Astyanax mexicanus: one gene and its partner. Each later gene encodes a partner of the first gene's protein in a complex. Links are inferred from orthologs where the notes say so. Each region holds a gene or a part of one and is shown on either strand. Other genes may lie near its edges.

Region 1 (8,086 bases):
CTGAATATCCAGATATGTTTTAACATCAGCAGCTCCGACTAGCTGCCTGAACTCACAGCGACGGGGGCTTCCCCACACTGACCCTCCTTTGCCATCTGATTGGCTGTTTCTCCTGAAAGGCGGGACTTTCTCCTTGAACCGGTTCCACGATTGGTTAAGAGACACAGAGCAGTCAGCTCCCTGTCTCCTCAATAATATATATATTTTTTAATTTTAATATAATACGGGAAATTTACGGTAAAATACTAATACGGGAGGACGGCGGGAAAGAGGAGTAAAATACGGTAGTTTCCCGGCCAAAACGGGAGACTTGACAGGTATGCCTGTTCCTTACTAGGGGCGCATAATGTGCCTTATAATCTGGTGCATCTTATAGTGCAAAAAATACATTTAACTTAAATGTATCCTATTAGGTATGTATTATAAATATCTATTGTAAATGTATGTGTATATATTATGTGTACATGTCAAAATACAAATACATGTCACTACACTGTGTATACACACTTGAGCAATTCTGAGAAATGTACAGCCCTCACCATTCCTCTGACAAATCTAACAACCAGAGCAAATAAAAAAAAAACCTACAACAATGAACCACGATATCCAAGAGCATCACGTCCAAATCATAAAAAACACTTCTATTAGCACTCCTCTATATACACTGATTAAACCCAGCTGATAAAACAACATTAACCACATTCCTGCCCTCTGTAAGAGGATCTGGCACTCTACAAGACCCTCAACCACAGGGTGAGGATTAAAGATCTGTGTAGAATTAGACATGCGGTCCACTGGGACAACAATTAGCACACTATCCATCCCCTCAACCACCCATCCCTCTTCATCATTACCAATTAATAGATTACTAATGAGATCCAGATAAGGTTACAAATACCTGTTAGAGATGTGATCTTGTATGTATCTTACACCACAACACAACATAACAAGAAAAAAAGCTAGGGTTGGCATTCAATCAATGTCAACACATTTCTGATATTTAAATATACATTATTTACAGCGAATTACATGAATTGGTTAGTTTCTGTGGCCTTTCGACTTATCGACTGAAATGAAGAAATATATTGAAAAATAAATGTCTATATCATCCAGATAAAAAAAGATCACTTATGATTCTATTTTATTATTATTATTATTATTATTATTATTATTATTATTATTATTATTATTATTACTATCAATCCCCATTTAGTCTCTTTGCTTGGTTTCAGGGTGGGCATAAAACAGCAAAATATGAAAAAAATAAATGTACCAACAGGTTTTATGGGACATAGTAACTACTGCACACACTGCACCCATTTGAGGTATTTGAAGCACTTGCAGGTGGATGAATGGTAAACCTGGTATGCATTAAAAAGTATGATGAAAATTGTGATATTACCAATTGGTCATAAAAATAGCAATATGTCTACTAGTATATATGTCATCATAGTCAAAAAAAAGTAAATGTCATAGCCATAGATTAGCATTAAAAAAATATATAACCATAAAATATAAATGTACGGTTAACATCTGGGAGAAACTACAGTTAGATAAATCGAAACACCAGTATAGATATATTACAAGCTTTTTTAACCCCTTATCTGAGTAAGTAACTTTCAGGGGGTGGGGGATATTTTTGCACGTTTGGCTCCATTCATTTGGACCATTTGGTTTGCAGGTGGACGAATTGTATAAATATTATTATATTTATAAGTCATACTGTATATACAGCTCTGGAAAAATAAAGGGACCACATACAGCTCTGGAAGGGACCACTTCAGTTACTGATTTTGCTATTTATAGGTATATGTTTGAGTAAAACAAACATTGTTGAGCATTTAATTGAAAAAAATGAGAAATGCTCAGAATAACAAAAAAAGATGAAGAGCTTTCTGTCCTCAAATAATGCAAAGAAAACAAGTTAATATTAAAAGTTTTAGGAAATTTAGAAATCAATATTTGGTGGAATAACCCTGGTTTTTAATCACAGTTTTCATGCATCTTGGCAGCATGCTCTCCTCCACCAGTCTTACACACTGCTTTTGGATAACTTTATGCCACTGCTGTTGCAAAAATTCAAGCAGTTCAGCTTGGTTTGATGGCTTGTGATCAATTTTTTCAAAGCTATATTATATTATATAAATATATACAAAATATAATATAATACAATATAATATAATATTATATATATATTAATAATACAATAATAATATAATAATACAATATAATATATACACACAAGCATTTTATATATATCATTCATTACTAGCCATATATGGGTATATGTTGGTTCTGCAACATTGAGAAAATCAACATTGCCTCAGAAATAATGGTACACGCCACCTTTTTTTGATGAATGAAACATAAAAATGGGGTTTAAGACCATAGTCAAAGCGAAATAAACACAGTAACGCGTCCACACCTCTACTAATTACCGTTAAGTTAAGATTCGTATGGCAAAAAAGGCGAAAACATGAAGTTGGAATTGATTTTGGAATTCTTCCGTTCCACCTTAAACAGTGCGGCAGTTCCATTTTGGCGCTTAAGGAGTCAGAATGGAAATGCTGCCCTATTTAAGGTGGAACGGAGGAATTCCAAAATCAGAAGCCAACTTCAGCTCCGTAAACACATGGTCAAATCCAAACACGCTAAATAAAACACAAACAGTCACATATCCGACCTCAAAAACGCATCCGAAAACACAGAAACAGCGAGCGTACCTCAACGTGAAGAGCGGTCAGCGCGAGTTACGGTGAAGGAGTTTCTCCTAATGTTTTTAGGCGTCCAGGGATAGCATCCCAGCTCGGCAGAAGGAGGACAGTAGTCTTCTTTTTGGAGAGGGGGATACTGTCCTCTTTCGCTTCTTTAACGCGATACTTTGTATCCAGTCTGAGGCCGCGGGCGCGCGCGGCGAAGAAAATCTGTAGCGAAGAAAATCACGAGAAAACGGCGATGCGCGCGTGTTTTCGTGCCGCGCGAGCCGAAGGGAAACAGTGTAGCAGTGTTGGAGAGTGTTGGAGAGGGGTGGTGTTTTTTTTTTGGTCTCTCTCTCTCTCTCTCTCTCTCTCTCTCTCTCTCTCTCTCTCTCTCCACTCTTCTTCCTTTCTTTATCAAGGCGGGGTCTTGGCTCTGCTAAACCAATGACACAAAGCCCAAAGAAACAGCCCCCCCCCCCCTCCACCTCCCACCTCCCATATCCACTACACACACACACACACACACACACACTGGTGTGTATTCATATCTTTGTCAGTTGTTTCTGTATGACTGTCTAAATGCTGCTGCCCTCAACCCTGACCTTTGACCCCAAGCCAAACAATAGATCAGTTCTTGCCTATTTCTTCATTTTTATTTCTCGTAAATTATGTTTTTCTCTTTTTTTATGGAAAATCTTGATGTTTTACACGTTTTTACATAGTTAAAGAAGAAACTGTACTGTACTGGAACAACAAAAAAAAAACAAAAAAAAAAACAAATGTTTACAATTTCACACAATACTACAAAAACACACACAAAAAACCACTGGAAAAAAAATTACGGAAATGAACTGCTTCAATCGCAACAAGCTTCTTATACCATCTAAACAGGAATTTTGGACCACTCTTCTTTTGCAAACTGCTTGAAGTCTCTCATATTTCAAGGATGCCTCCTCCCACCAGCAAGTTTAGGATCTCTCTTTATGCGTTCAATGAGATTTAGATCCAGTCTCATTGCTTGGCCACTCCAGAACTCTGACTTCAGAAGCATTTTGTTTTCATACATCTCTGGGTGCTTTTTGAAGTATGTTTGGGGTCATTGTCTTGTTGGGAGACCCATGACACAGTATGCAAACCCAGCTAATCACAGAGTATTGTTATGATTGATCTGATTACATTTTTAAAATAATTTTGTTTCTAATTTTTCCCATTTACACGGCCAATTACCCAACCCACTCATTAGGACTCCCTCTATCACTAGTGATGCCCCAACACACCAGGAGGGTGAAGACTAACACATGCTTTCTCCGATACATGTGAAGTCTGCAACCGCTTCTTTTTGAGCTGCTGCAGCATTGCTGAGTAGCATCATAGCGCACTCAGATTAAAGCGCAGCGGCTCGGTTCTGATACATCAGCTCACAGACGTCCTGTGCTGCGGACATCACCCTAGGAGAGATGTGGGGAGAGAGCGCCATCTACCCACCCGGAGGGAGCAGGGCCAATTTTGCTCCCTCTGAGCGCCGGCAGCTTGATGGCAAAGCTGCATGAGCGGGGATTTGAACCTGCGACCTCCCGCTCACAGTGGCAGTGCTTTAGACCGCTGGACCACTCGGCACCCCTGATTAAATTTTTTAACCAACTGACACCACTAATACAAACACATTTACTGTACACTAGCTCGGTGTGTCACGTACACTGGAGCGTAGCGCACTCGTGCGACCCACGGTAACTCGTTCATCAGCGAGAGTAGTCTTTAAGAAAGCAGCTAGCGTACATAACGATTAGCGTTTACCACCGACTGTGAATAATTTAGCTGCAGGCTTTAGAACGGCTCTAAAGAGGCTGAGTGATGACGAGCCATTCACAACGAGCTCAGTGTGCTCATGGTATAATGGCATTTCTGAGTGTATAAAAACACGGGCTTCAAACATCTCACAGCACAGGTATTCAGCTTATTCCAACCTTCAGCTTCTGAGAGCCAACCTCCACAATTTCTTTTTTTTATGCTTGAATAGTTTATGTGCTCTAAAGTAAACAAAGAATAAAAAAAAATAGGACAGACAATAGGACAAACAGCGAGCCTATGTTTTGTTCTGCTCCATAAGTTCGATACGGTTCGATGAGAACGAGAGAGAGAGAGAGAGAGAAAGAGAGAGAAAGAGACAGTGGGAGAGAAAGTGAGTGAGAGAGAGAGAGAGAGTGAGTGAGGGTTTATCGCGAGGCCCGGAGGAGTGTAAATATGGATTAGGCTGATGTCTGTCTTCATTAAAGTTTAACAGTGACAGAAGACTCTGGTGAATTATTCATTAAAAACTCCGGCAGATGATGTTATTTATCGCCCGGGTGTCACGCGCCATCTTCTCTTTCATCCTAAACTGGTGATTTACATGTTGTTGTAACGTCTAATGTGTTGTGATGAATCCTCCGGGCGTCGCCCGCTAATTCTCCGACTTCGCCGCGCTCAAAATACCCATAATGATCCTACATTATAACGGAATGCAAACGATGACATAATTGTCAATCATTAGTAAAGCATCATTCACAAGTGTTCTACAGAGCACTAAACTACAGCTGTCACGATTCATCAGTTACGTTTGATTAATAAATGCAAATAATCAGTGATTAGTTGAGTGTACATGACGGTAATTGCATTGCATACTTTGTAAACTATAATCACATTTGGCTATTTGCCTTTGGTTAGTAATAAGGTCAAAAATTAACTAAATAATGATGCGATTTCAAACAGGTGATGTGAACAGGTGATTATAACCATGATTTAGTCTTTGAGGAGCAATGATGGTCAGAGGATCGTCAGTTTGTAGCAAATGTGAGAAAATGATTGAAATGTATAACATTAAGGAATTCTTTATAGGACTAATCCTAATCAATATAGTGTTCAAAAGTAGGGAACAGTGAACTGATCCAATAAAAGGAACAGGAACAGCTACATTATAGTGGGTCAAAATAAGGATCAGTGATTAGGGAACTGTTAGTGTTCCTTATAACAGTGCTCTATTTATAGCACCAATGTAGGAATCAGTGATTGAGTATTGACTATTCCTGTTATGTATGATACTCTTCAATACTGTATATATATATATATATATATATATAGTATACGGTGCTTATTATAGGAAAGAAACACTATCCCAACCAATCTAGCGCTGTATAAAAAAGTATTTGCTCCCTAAACCTATAACTTGTTTGTGTCACTCATCAATCACTGCAATCAAGCTTTACAGATAAATTTTGCTCCACTTTTCTTTACAGAATTGTTTTAATTCAGACACATTGGAGGATTTTCCAGCATAAACCACCTGTTTAAGATCATGACTTTGACTAGGACACTCCAAAACCTTTATTTAGTTTTTGTTTTTTAAAGCCATTCAGAGATGGACTTGTTTGTGTGCTTTGGATCATTGTCCTGCTGCAGAACCCAAGTACACCTGAGCTTGAGGTCACAAACAGATGGCCGGACCTTCTCTTTCAGGATTTTCTGGTAAACAGTAGAATTCCTGGTTCCAACTATTTTGGCAAGCTGTCCAGGCCCATCACACTACCACCACCATGTTTTACATTCAGTATGATGTTCTATTTTCTGACATTATGTGTTGGTTTTACATAGAGGTGGAAAGTAATGAATTACATTTACTCAAGTTACTGTAATTGAGTAGATTTTATGAGTAATTTGTAATTTTTAAAGTAGTTTTTAAAATAGGTAATTTTACTTTTACTCAACTACATTTTGACACAAGTAATTTACTTTGCTACACTGGAAAACTCACAATTACTGAGTAAAAAATAAAATGCTGAGGAAAAAAAACAATTGTCTGAATTAAAAAAAAATAGATAGAACACAGATGCTCGCGCGTGGAATAACGAGGCAATAACGTCCTCATGCAATGCAAAATGTGCCCCACCGGACAGAGCTGTTCAGCTTTCAAAACTTCCACATCAAACCTGTGAAAGCATGTAGTGGTAATTATTTTTATCATTAAATAATCTGCTTGAATGTTAAAAAAAATGTAAATAGCAGTTAAAGCATATCAATGGCAAGTTAAAAAATAACAATGAACTGTAAAACTATAAAATAACAGTTTATAGTCTCCTATATTACCATAACTTTTTAATAGTAAAGAAAAAAATGGATCATAGAAACCTGGGCCACTTGTTCTTGAAAATGTTTTATGGGGTGGTCTAAACAAATACTGCCTGAAAGATCCAAATTATTATGTGAAATAATAGTTCATTAAAAACAATTTAATTTATGATTTGTTTTTACTTTTTTGCATCAAATAATTAAAAGTAACTATGTAACTTTTACTCAAAGTACATTTTAAATTAAGTACTTTTTACTTTTACTCGAGTAGATTTTTAGATGGGTACTTTTACTTTTACTTGAGTAAAATTTTAGCAAAGTAAAGGTACTTTTACTTACAATTTTTCAGTACTTTTTCTGGTTTTACAGCAGATGTAATGGCACACACCTTTCAAAAAGCTCCACTTTTGTCTCTTCAGTCCAAAGAATATTTACCCAAAGTCCTGGAGATCATCAAGATGTTTTTTGGTAAATGTGAGATGGGCCATTGTGTTATTTTTGGTCATCATTAATACTGATCTTAACTGAGGCAAGTGAGACCTGCAGCTCTTTAAATGTTGTTCTGGGTTCTTTTGGTACCTCCAGGATGAGTTGTCCATGCCCTTTTTTTAGATAGCTAAGAGAATAAAGTGAAAATAAATGATGCAACTTCATTAGACGAGATAATGGAGAATGCAATTGTGCCAGGATTGTTTGATAAAAATATTTTAAAATGATATTTAAGGTAAAAATGATCTTATTTCTTTTAATAAGACACACTCACCCCTCCTCTGAACTCTCCTGTGAACTGAACTTCATTTACAGGCCACAAATTTTTTTAAGGGGAGAGGTGGAGCTTTTTAAGTTGAGGGTTTGATGGACTGGACCCCTAAACCACTGATTCTAGAATCACCCCAGGCCGAGAACAGTCATATGGGGACTATTTCTGTGTGTTTAACCTATGAAAGGGTGTGTTCTATATAGTGCTACTGTGAAGGGAACAGTGATAATCCTCTCCATCTCCTCACCCGTCACAGCTGTGATCTCAGGACGCCTAAACGCCTAAAAGGAGTGTGCTGATGTTGATGCTGAAGTTGAAGCTGATGCCTCCTTTCTCCTGGTCCACACTACATCCTGTACACATGCTAACCGGCTGACCCTGTGGGGGGCTTCTAATGTTCCGCTGAGATCTAGTAGGTGGAATTCATTATATTACTGCAAATAAGGTCAGGGCCGGCCTCGGCTCGGACCGCCTCAGAGCGCCCCTCTCGGCGTGACCTCCGACCTCCATCTCCATAGTCTCAGAT
Region 2 (7,758 bases), on another chromosome or scaffold:
CCCAAACTCTGAGCGGAGTGACTTCAACTCAGCCAACACCATCGCTAGATCCGCCATGTTGTTGACGGCCTTGTCGTCCGGTCGGCAAATTGCTTGTATTTGGCTTTTTGAGAAGAGCGCTTCCGAGTGAAAATATCACATTCCTTGACTGCAGTTGTTTTTGACATGCTTCCAATTCAGTTGATATAATTAATTTGGGGTTTTCGATTAATTTTGTGCGTGTCTTTACAGAGCTTCCACGCTATGCGACCATCTTGGTTCCCAGCTCCATAGCGCCCCCTTGTATGTCACTCTTATACTGTTTTATATTTTCTGTTTTACATAATCCATCTCTCTGCTTTCCTCCGAGTCACTGACTGCCCACCTGTCTGACCCGATACCGAGGGATGCTGGACCCTCGGAATTTGAGGAATTTGCATAACTGCTTTTTATTTTGTACAGCTATGTTTCTTGTTTCCTGTTTCTGTGCCCATGAACAGGGAAGTGGAGAAAGCCGTCCTGTTGCCTTTCCTTTTCTTTCTTTTGGTTGGGACCCATGAAAATACAACTGAAACGACTTGTTGAACAGTGAATAAGCTTTGTAGTGTCAGCCAGTTTCCTGATGAACGTTATCAGCGCTAGGGAAGGTTTTCTTCCAGAAGCCACAAACAAAGCACTCCGCTGCTAAAAACGTCACCAGGCTTTCCGGAGTTCAGTTTGAACTTAAACTTCCTGAACCTGTCTTCTTAAAACCATACTTTCTTCTACATGTTCCTAGATGGATTACTAGGATGTCTGCTTTATGTCAGAATTGTTCACTCTTAAAAACAAAGGCACTTTAATTAAATCTATGTACACACTAAGAAAAATAAGAGATAAAAAAAGAAACATGAGAATTCAAAAAAGAAAAAGAACTAAAAGAGTACAAAGCTTGTCGCTGGAGCTGTACCTTATTTTGAGGTAAAAAAAAAAAGTACCTTTCATTGAAAGTCCTTTTTTGTACCCATGTTTTTTGTGCCAGTAAAGATTATACAGATTATAAACATTATCATCAACTGAACATGTGTCAAGAACTTGATGATCCAAAATTTTCTGACTTTCAAAAAAAAAAGTGCAATTAAAACATATATTGTTTATTAGTACAGTCATACAGAATACCGAATGTACATTTTTCGCTGGTTAAATGGTACAAATCTGTACTTATTGCTGTTAGGAAAGACTTTTTACCTCAGAGGGAACATCTGACCCTGTAAAGACCAATATTGTACCTTTGAGTACAGAAAAGTACTTATATCGTACATCTGTTTTTAGAGTGTATGATGCCACAACAAATCCCCTTTGGATCCCAAAAAGGACCATAACTACCATTTCTGGAGAACATTAGGTTGTTATCCACAATACATGCTTCCAGTCATTTTTGAGTGTGGTTATGGTGGACACTTATTATCCAACAATGCAATGCAAAATGGAAAGGGAGGAGCTACTCAGTGTCTTTACATAAACATCTCTTTTGCAAAAATGTTTTTATGGAACCAAAATTAGTTATCCTTTAGTCATGATGCAAAGAATAGCACCTTTATATTTAAGAATGAAAAGTAACAAAACAAATTGTGATTAAGGCAATAAAGACATTCTGTAGTAACGCTATAAAAAATGCTGTAGGAAAAATAGTAACTAAAACCACACCCTCTATTTAAAGTAAAGTGTATTCATGAATTTCAATGTGACATTTTTTTGGTGTAGGAGAAACTGGATGTGCGTGTTACTAGCATTTGCTAATGGTTGTGTCACTTGTTTTACTCTTGCCAGTGTATTTGGTTCTTTTCATGTTGAAATGTTTCTTGTATTAGTATTTTATTATATATATATATATATTTTTTTTTTTACAAAAATGTTTTTTAATGGAGCCAGAATTGATTATGCTTTGCCTATCGTGCCAGCCTGGGGCCTTTTGTGTAGCACCTTTAAACAATGAACAATTAAAATAAAAGTCTTTTTTAGGCAAGAAAGAAATCCCTGAGAAGCTGGAGAAACTGAAAAAAGCTATAAAGGAACTGATTACTAGTACTATTGGGTTTACAACATTATCAGTAGAACACATGATAAGTAAACTGGTTTTCTTCAAGTTTAAAAGGTTTTGTGTACTGATGATTGGCCCACATCACACACCTGCACTTAATATATTTAAAGGGTTTACACTTTCTACCCTAAAGGAAGCACATTTGGACCACAGCTGAATACAATACACTACAATTCGGATCACAAACGGCCACTCAGTACCTCTCGACTCCCTTTTAATGGAGGGATAAAACACAGGCTGGGGGGAGGGGAGGTGACCTAAATTAAATTCACAGTGCTGGTTCTTCTTCTTAAATACAACATCATCCAGCTTAATCTAGTCTGTTCCTGACAAGACAACATGCACTATGGGTCTACCCCCTCAATTCTTTCTCATTTTTAGGCCAGTCTTGTATTTCTTAGTGTCAGTTAACTATGCTAATTCTGCCAACATGCTCTTTAAATTCCTTGTCCCTGTCTCTAGTCTTTGCTAGAGCTTTCCTCATTTTTACTTTGCAGTCTCTTTATCTTCTCACTGCACACTCATTATATTTCTTTGTCTCTCGTCTCTCTCTCTGTCTCTACATCTTTATATATCTTTATTTTTATACAGTGTATCACATCCCTTTTTCCTTTTTCCCAGTAGGAAACAGCTGACTATCTCACCCTTAAAATAAAGACATTTGAAAACGTTTGAAGCCCTTAAATGCAATAAATCGTCTGGAAAAAATGTAATCAGCTATGGTTGCCAAACACAACTATCTTTCTTATTATTACTCCATATGTGTGTGTTTTTTGCGTGTCCATATGTGGGTGTTTGAGGGAGGGATTTACACCAGAGACCTGCAAGTCATTAAGACCATTCAGCATTTCTCCCCAGTGGAACAATAGTGCAGTAGCTGTAGGCATGGCCCCAAGCTGGCTGGTAGTGATAGGGCCTCCCCAGGGAAAAAGCCCTTACTCAATCTGCTCCTGATAGGGAGGCTTAACATAAGTCCTGATCCAGGAGTCCTCTCTGACAAAGGCCTGACATAAGCAATTATGAGACTGAGATATTTGGACAGAGTCTGAGACCAGGTCCAGCACTGTTATCATCAAAATCTCTTGCAGTTTCAAGGTTCAGAATTACTCAGGCTGTTTGCCAAAATCTAAATGAGGATGCTTTGTGAAGTGGAAATGTACTAGTCTAGGACTAAGCTTAAAGTGTATTAACATGTGAAATTCATGTTTCCAGTACTCGCGTACATGCATTTTGGTATTTGGAGTGTCTATAAATTACATACTGCAAATTAAGATATTCCAGACCATTTTGTAATTTAGAAACAATGACTGTAGAAATATATATAATAATAATATAATATGAATGCCATTGTTTTGCAGGAAGCCAAAAATATCTGCCAGGTTGTTGATTTTGCAGGCAGAATCAGAAAATTAAAGTTGATACTGATACTATTTAAGAACACTGGATATTTTTTGTTACATTACATATTTTAACGTTGATGATGAGGAACAACATGTATTTTACATTTAACAACAGGCTTCTGTTAGGGTTCAAATTCTGACATTGATTCAACATTCAGTTAAAAGCTTTGAATGGTTCGGTCTTTTTTGCACTCACAATGCGTGAAAGGTGCTCTCCACAAATAATATTAATTCTTATTATACAGTAGAAAAATTATTGATATGTCTGGGGATCTGGGGGTCCAGAAAGTAACCTGCTGTCACCTGCTGGGATAACGGCTAGTTTGCCGTCAGCAGACGGAGTCTGAGAGCAATAATTAGATATTTTAACATATGATAAATGTTCTTATTGTTACAGAGAATGTAAAAATCATTTTTAACTGAATCATATGTAGCGAAGATTAAAATAAAATAACATTATGCGTAATTGGGTGTTTAAAATCACGTTATTACATATAACAAAGGCGGTGGCTGTAGTGTTCATATCGATATCAAAAGTATGTCGCATCGACCGAGATAAAAAGTATATCGTGAAATAGATTTTGGCCATATTGTACATTTCAACACTGCAAGATCACAATACAAGCTATAAAAATAGAAAACACATACAAACATATAAAAGCTTAACTGTGAACCAATAAATAAACAACTCTGTCCTCAGAGATCAACGCTGTTTCAATTGAATTAGAGATGGAAAATTGAACGTTAATTCAATGTTAATTTGCTCTCTGGGTCCCTTTAACACCGCCCTCACCCCCCCCTTCTCTTTAGTGAGAGACAGAGAGAGCGAAGGCTGCGCGCGCAGCTCTGCTGTCACACGGCTCCATCCTTCTCCTCCTCCTCGCTGTGAGAAAGAGAGAGAGAGAGAGAGAGAGAGAGAGACGGGGGGGGGGGTCTTGACAGATCTTGCTCTGAGGAGATCTTACGGTGAAGAGACGGGGACCGGGTGAAGCTGGTGGGGCTGCGCTCGTGTGATCGACCGCCGCAGCGTCCATTCGGTTATTTTTTATCTGCGTTGTTTTCATGAGGAGAAGAAACCCCGTCACAAAGAGAAACGACGAAAAATACGATTATCATAATTTTCTAGCGGCGACTGAAGCCAACCCCCCTTTAAAAATAATGAAATAAACGCGGATACCGAGGATAATCCACAGACTGGCTCAGACGACGCCGCCGTTATTTTCTCCATTTCCCTTGTTCTCTCAGCGATTTACTGTTTCTCAGGTAAGAAGCGTCTCCCTCGTTTCTAGACTAATTTTTAGCATTTGGTATTAGTAGCTAGTATGTGTATTCCCACGCTAAGGATGAATTCGATCAAAATACAAATTGGCCAACCCCGCTTTTGTACGCTCAGTAACAGTCAATGGACCTTTACAACACTTAAAGATCAACCCACTGGTTTCCATATTGTGTCCTGAAACTAAAAAAAAAACAAAACAATTGTAATCGCATAACGCTCTAATATGTTTTGCTTATGAGGCTGTTGGCCACACATTTCCCCACTCACCCCTCGTAGATTTAAAATGAATATAATGAATCTTAAAGAGATATACTCACTGTATTATTAGTACCATATCAACGTTTTGAATCATCGCACAGTGAGGACTGGGAACAAAACCCATCAACAATGGCTTCCAAAAGCTCCAACCAAGCACGCATATATACATTTGTATCTAATAAACTGTCAGGACTTAAGCTCAACCCAAACTCAGTCAGTTTGACAGCCTAAATATGCTCTCCTAGATTTCAAAGGAATATGGTGAAGAAGCCTAAAGAAATATACTCACTGTATTAATATACTCACTGTATTATTATTCATTTATTAGTAAACCAACCATTTAGGTTAACAACACTGGTCTGTTTCCATGAATACAGGGGTAACATATTCACCGTGGTCACCCCTGTGTGTATTATCACCCTTTTAGATCCTTGCACAGTAATAACAACCCATCAGGAATGGCTTCCAAAGGGTCCAGCAGTTATTCTCAACCCAAACATAATCAATAAGACAGCCTGAATAGGCTCTGATCTAACATTAAATACAATCTGTTGGCCACACAGGTACATCTCCTTCTCTGTGTGAATATGAAAATGAACATGCAGAAGCCTGAAGAGATATATTCTCTGTACTATTATAAGCAATTTGTTCGTTAGCAAAGTACCATTCACATGAATACAGAGGACTGAGATAGAGATCTATATGATGAATGCAAGCTACCTCACATCAGTGGTTTGGATCCTTGCACAAGGCTCCAACATAACATGTATATAAAATTGTATGTAATAAATTGTCACTAATTATTCTCAACCCAAAACTAGTTAATAAGACAGCCTAAACAGGCTAATGAATATGAATAACAATCTCTGGATCTTTAAAATGCTCAACCTACTGGTTTCTATATTGTGTTTTGGAGCTAAAATCCATTAAATTTTTGTTGGACTCACAAGCAGTGTAAGGTTTTAAAAGGTATAGGATCACTGCATTACTACCATGACAAGCTATACCACCAGCGTACATAAATAGAATTGGTCTGGTTTCATGACAATAGGGGTGTACAAGAGTGTCCCAAATATAGGCTAGCTTTATAGACATATCCACCATGCTGACTTCTGTGTGTAGAGATGTGTATGATTGCAACAAGGATTAGCAATGGCTTCATAGAATGCAAATATGCACACACATAAGCTTGTACCCACAAGTTTGTACCCTTGTACTGGCAGCAGTACAAAAATATATTTCATAAAAAAATCACCAACAGGGTGGAGAATGAACAGATGAATAAATGGTTAGATGCACTAATGGGTTCTGTCATTTTCTTAAAAAGCAATATTTCCTTTTCATACTCAATAACCCAGTTGTTTTCATCTTGTGTCCTGCAGCTAAAATCCAATCTTAATATCTGTTGGCCACACAAGTGCCTCCCTCACTTAGCTCCCGTAGAACAGTCAAATATGGTTTTGGTATATACTTGCAGTACTTGCAGTCCATTAGATACAAGCTCATATGAGTGACTGGTTAAAGCCTTTGAAAACAAATTTTCAGAAAAAGCTATGAGCATTTGGGTTTACTACAACTGGTGTGACAATTGGACAGTAGTGTGTGCTAGGGGTGTGACGAGATCTCGTCAAGCTCAAACCTGTAAGTGAAAACAGTAGGTGAGCTCCGCGGTACAGTTAAAAAGCTCTGCTTGACAGTAGGTGAGCTCTGTGGTACAGTTAAAAATCTCCGCTCGACAGTAGGTGAGCTCCACGGTACAGTTAAAAAGCTCCAGTAGAGAGTATGTGAGCTCCCTGGTACAGTTAAAAAGCTCCGCTCGAAAGTACGTGAGCTCTGCGGCACAGTTAAAAAGCTCCGCTCGACAGTAGGTGATCTCTGTGGTACAGTTAAAAAGCTCCGCTCAAAAGTATGTGAGCTCTGCGGTACAGATAAAAATCTCCGCTCGACAGTAGGTGAGCTCTAGGGTACAGTTAAAAAGCTCCGCTCGACAGTAGGTGAGCTCTGTGGTACAGTTAAAAAGCTCCACTCGACATTAGGTGAGCTCTGTGGTACAGTTAAAAAGCTCTGCTCGAAAGTACGTGAGCTCTGCGGTACAGTTAAAAAGCTCCGCTCGACAGTAGGTGATCTCTGTGGTACAGTTAAAAAGCTCCGCTCGACAGTAGGTGATCTCTGTGGACTGTGGTACAGTTAAAAAGCTCCACTCAAATGTAGGTGAGCTCCGCGGTACAGTTAAAAATCTCCGCTCGAAAGTATGTGAGCTCTGCGGTACAGTTAAAAAGCTCCAGTAGAGAGTAGGTGAGCTCTGTGGTACAGTTAAAAAGCTCCAGTAGAGAGTAGGTGAGCTCTGTGGTACAGTTAAAAAGCTCCGCTCGACAGTAGGTGATCTCTGTGGTACAGTTAAAAAGCTCCGCTCGACAGTAGGTGATCTCCGCGGTACAGTTAAAAAGCTCCGCTCGAAAGTACGTGAGCTCTGCGGTACAGTTAAAAAGCTCCGCTCGAATGTAGGTGATCTCTGTGGTACAGTTAAAAAGCTCCGCTCGAATGTAGGTGAGCTCTGTGGTACAGTTAAAAAGCTCCGCTCGAATGTAGGTGATCTCTGTGGTACAGTTAAAAAGCTCCACTCGAATGTAGGTGAGCTCCGCGGTACAGTTAAAAATCTCCGCTCGAAAGTATGTGAGCTCTGTGGTACAGTTAGAAAGCTCCAGTAGAGAGTATGTGAGCTCCCTGGTACAGTTAAAAAGCTCCGCTCGAATGTAGGTGAT

What was found. Proteins that work in one complex are often made in the same cells at the same time.
Region 2: the proteins of C-terminal-binding protein 2 (region 1) and zmp:0000001174 are in contact, whole or in part, in a crystal structure (PDB 8ATI), measured with the Homo sapiens proteins. The link is inferred for Astyanax mexicanus from reciprocal best matches to the Homo sapiens genes CTBP2 and RAI2. Residues at the interface, in NP_001077383.1 of Homo sapiens: Leu35, Arg42, Cys44, Met48, Val57, Ala58, Phe59, Cys60, Asp61, Glu67, Ile68, His69, Lys71, Val72; in NP_001166210.2 of Homo sapiens: Glu315, Ala316, Leu317, Asp318, Leu319, Ser320, Met321.

The regions. Positions count from the first base shown.
Region 1 is NC_064422.1:18,510,893-18,518,978, forward strand, and holds the start of C-terminal-binding protein 2, read right to left. Parts: upstream 3,069-8,086; 5' UTR 2,724-3,068; intron 1-2,723. UniProt on the Homo sapiens protein: Corepressor targeting diverse transcription regulators. Functions in brown adipose tissue (BAT) differentiation. Isoform 2 probably acts as a scaffold for specialized synapses.
Region 2 is NC_064420.1:11,162,474-11,170,231, forward strand, and holds the start of zmp:0000001174 (retinoic acid-induced protein 2), read left to right. Parts: upstream 1-4,392; 5' UTR 4,393-4,722; intron 4,723-7,758.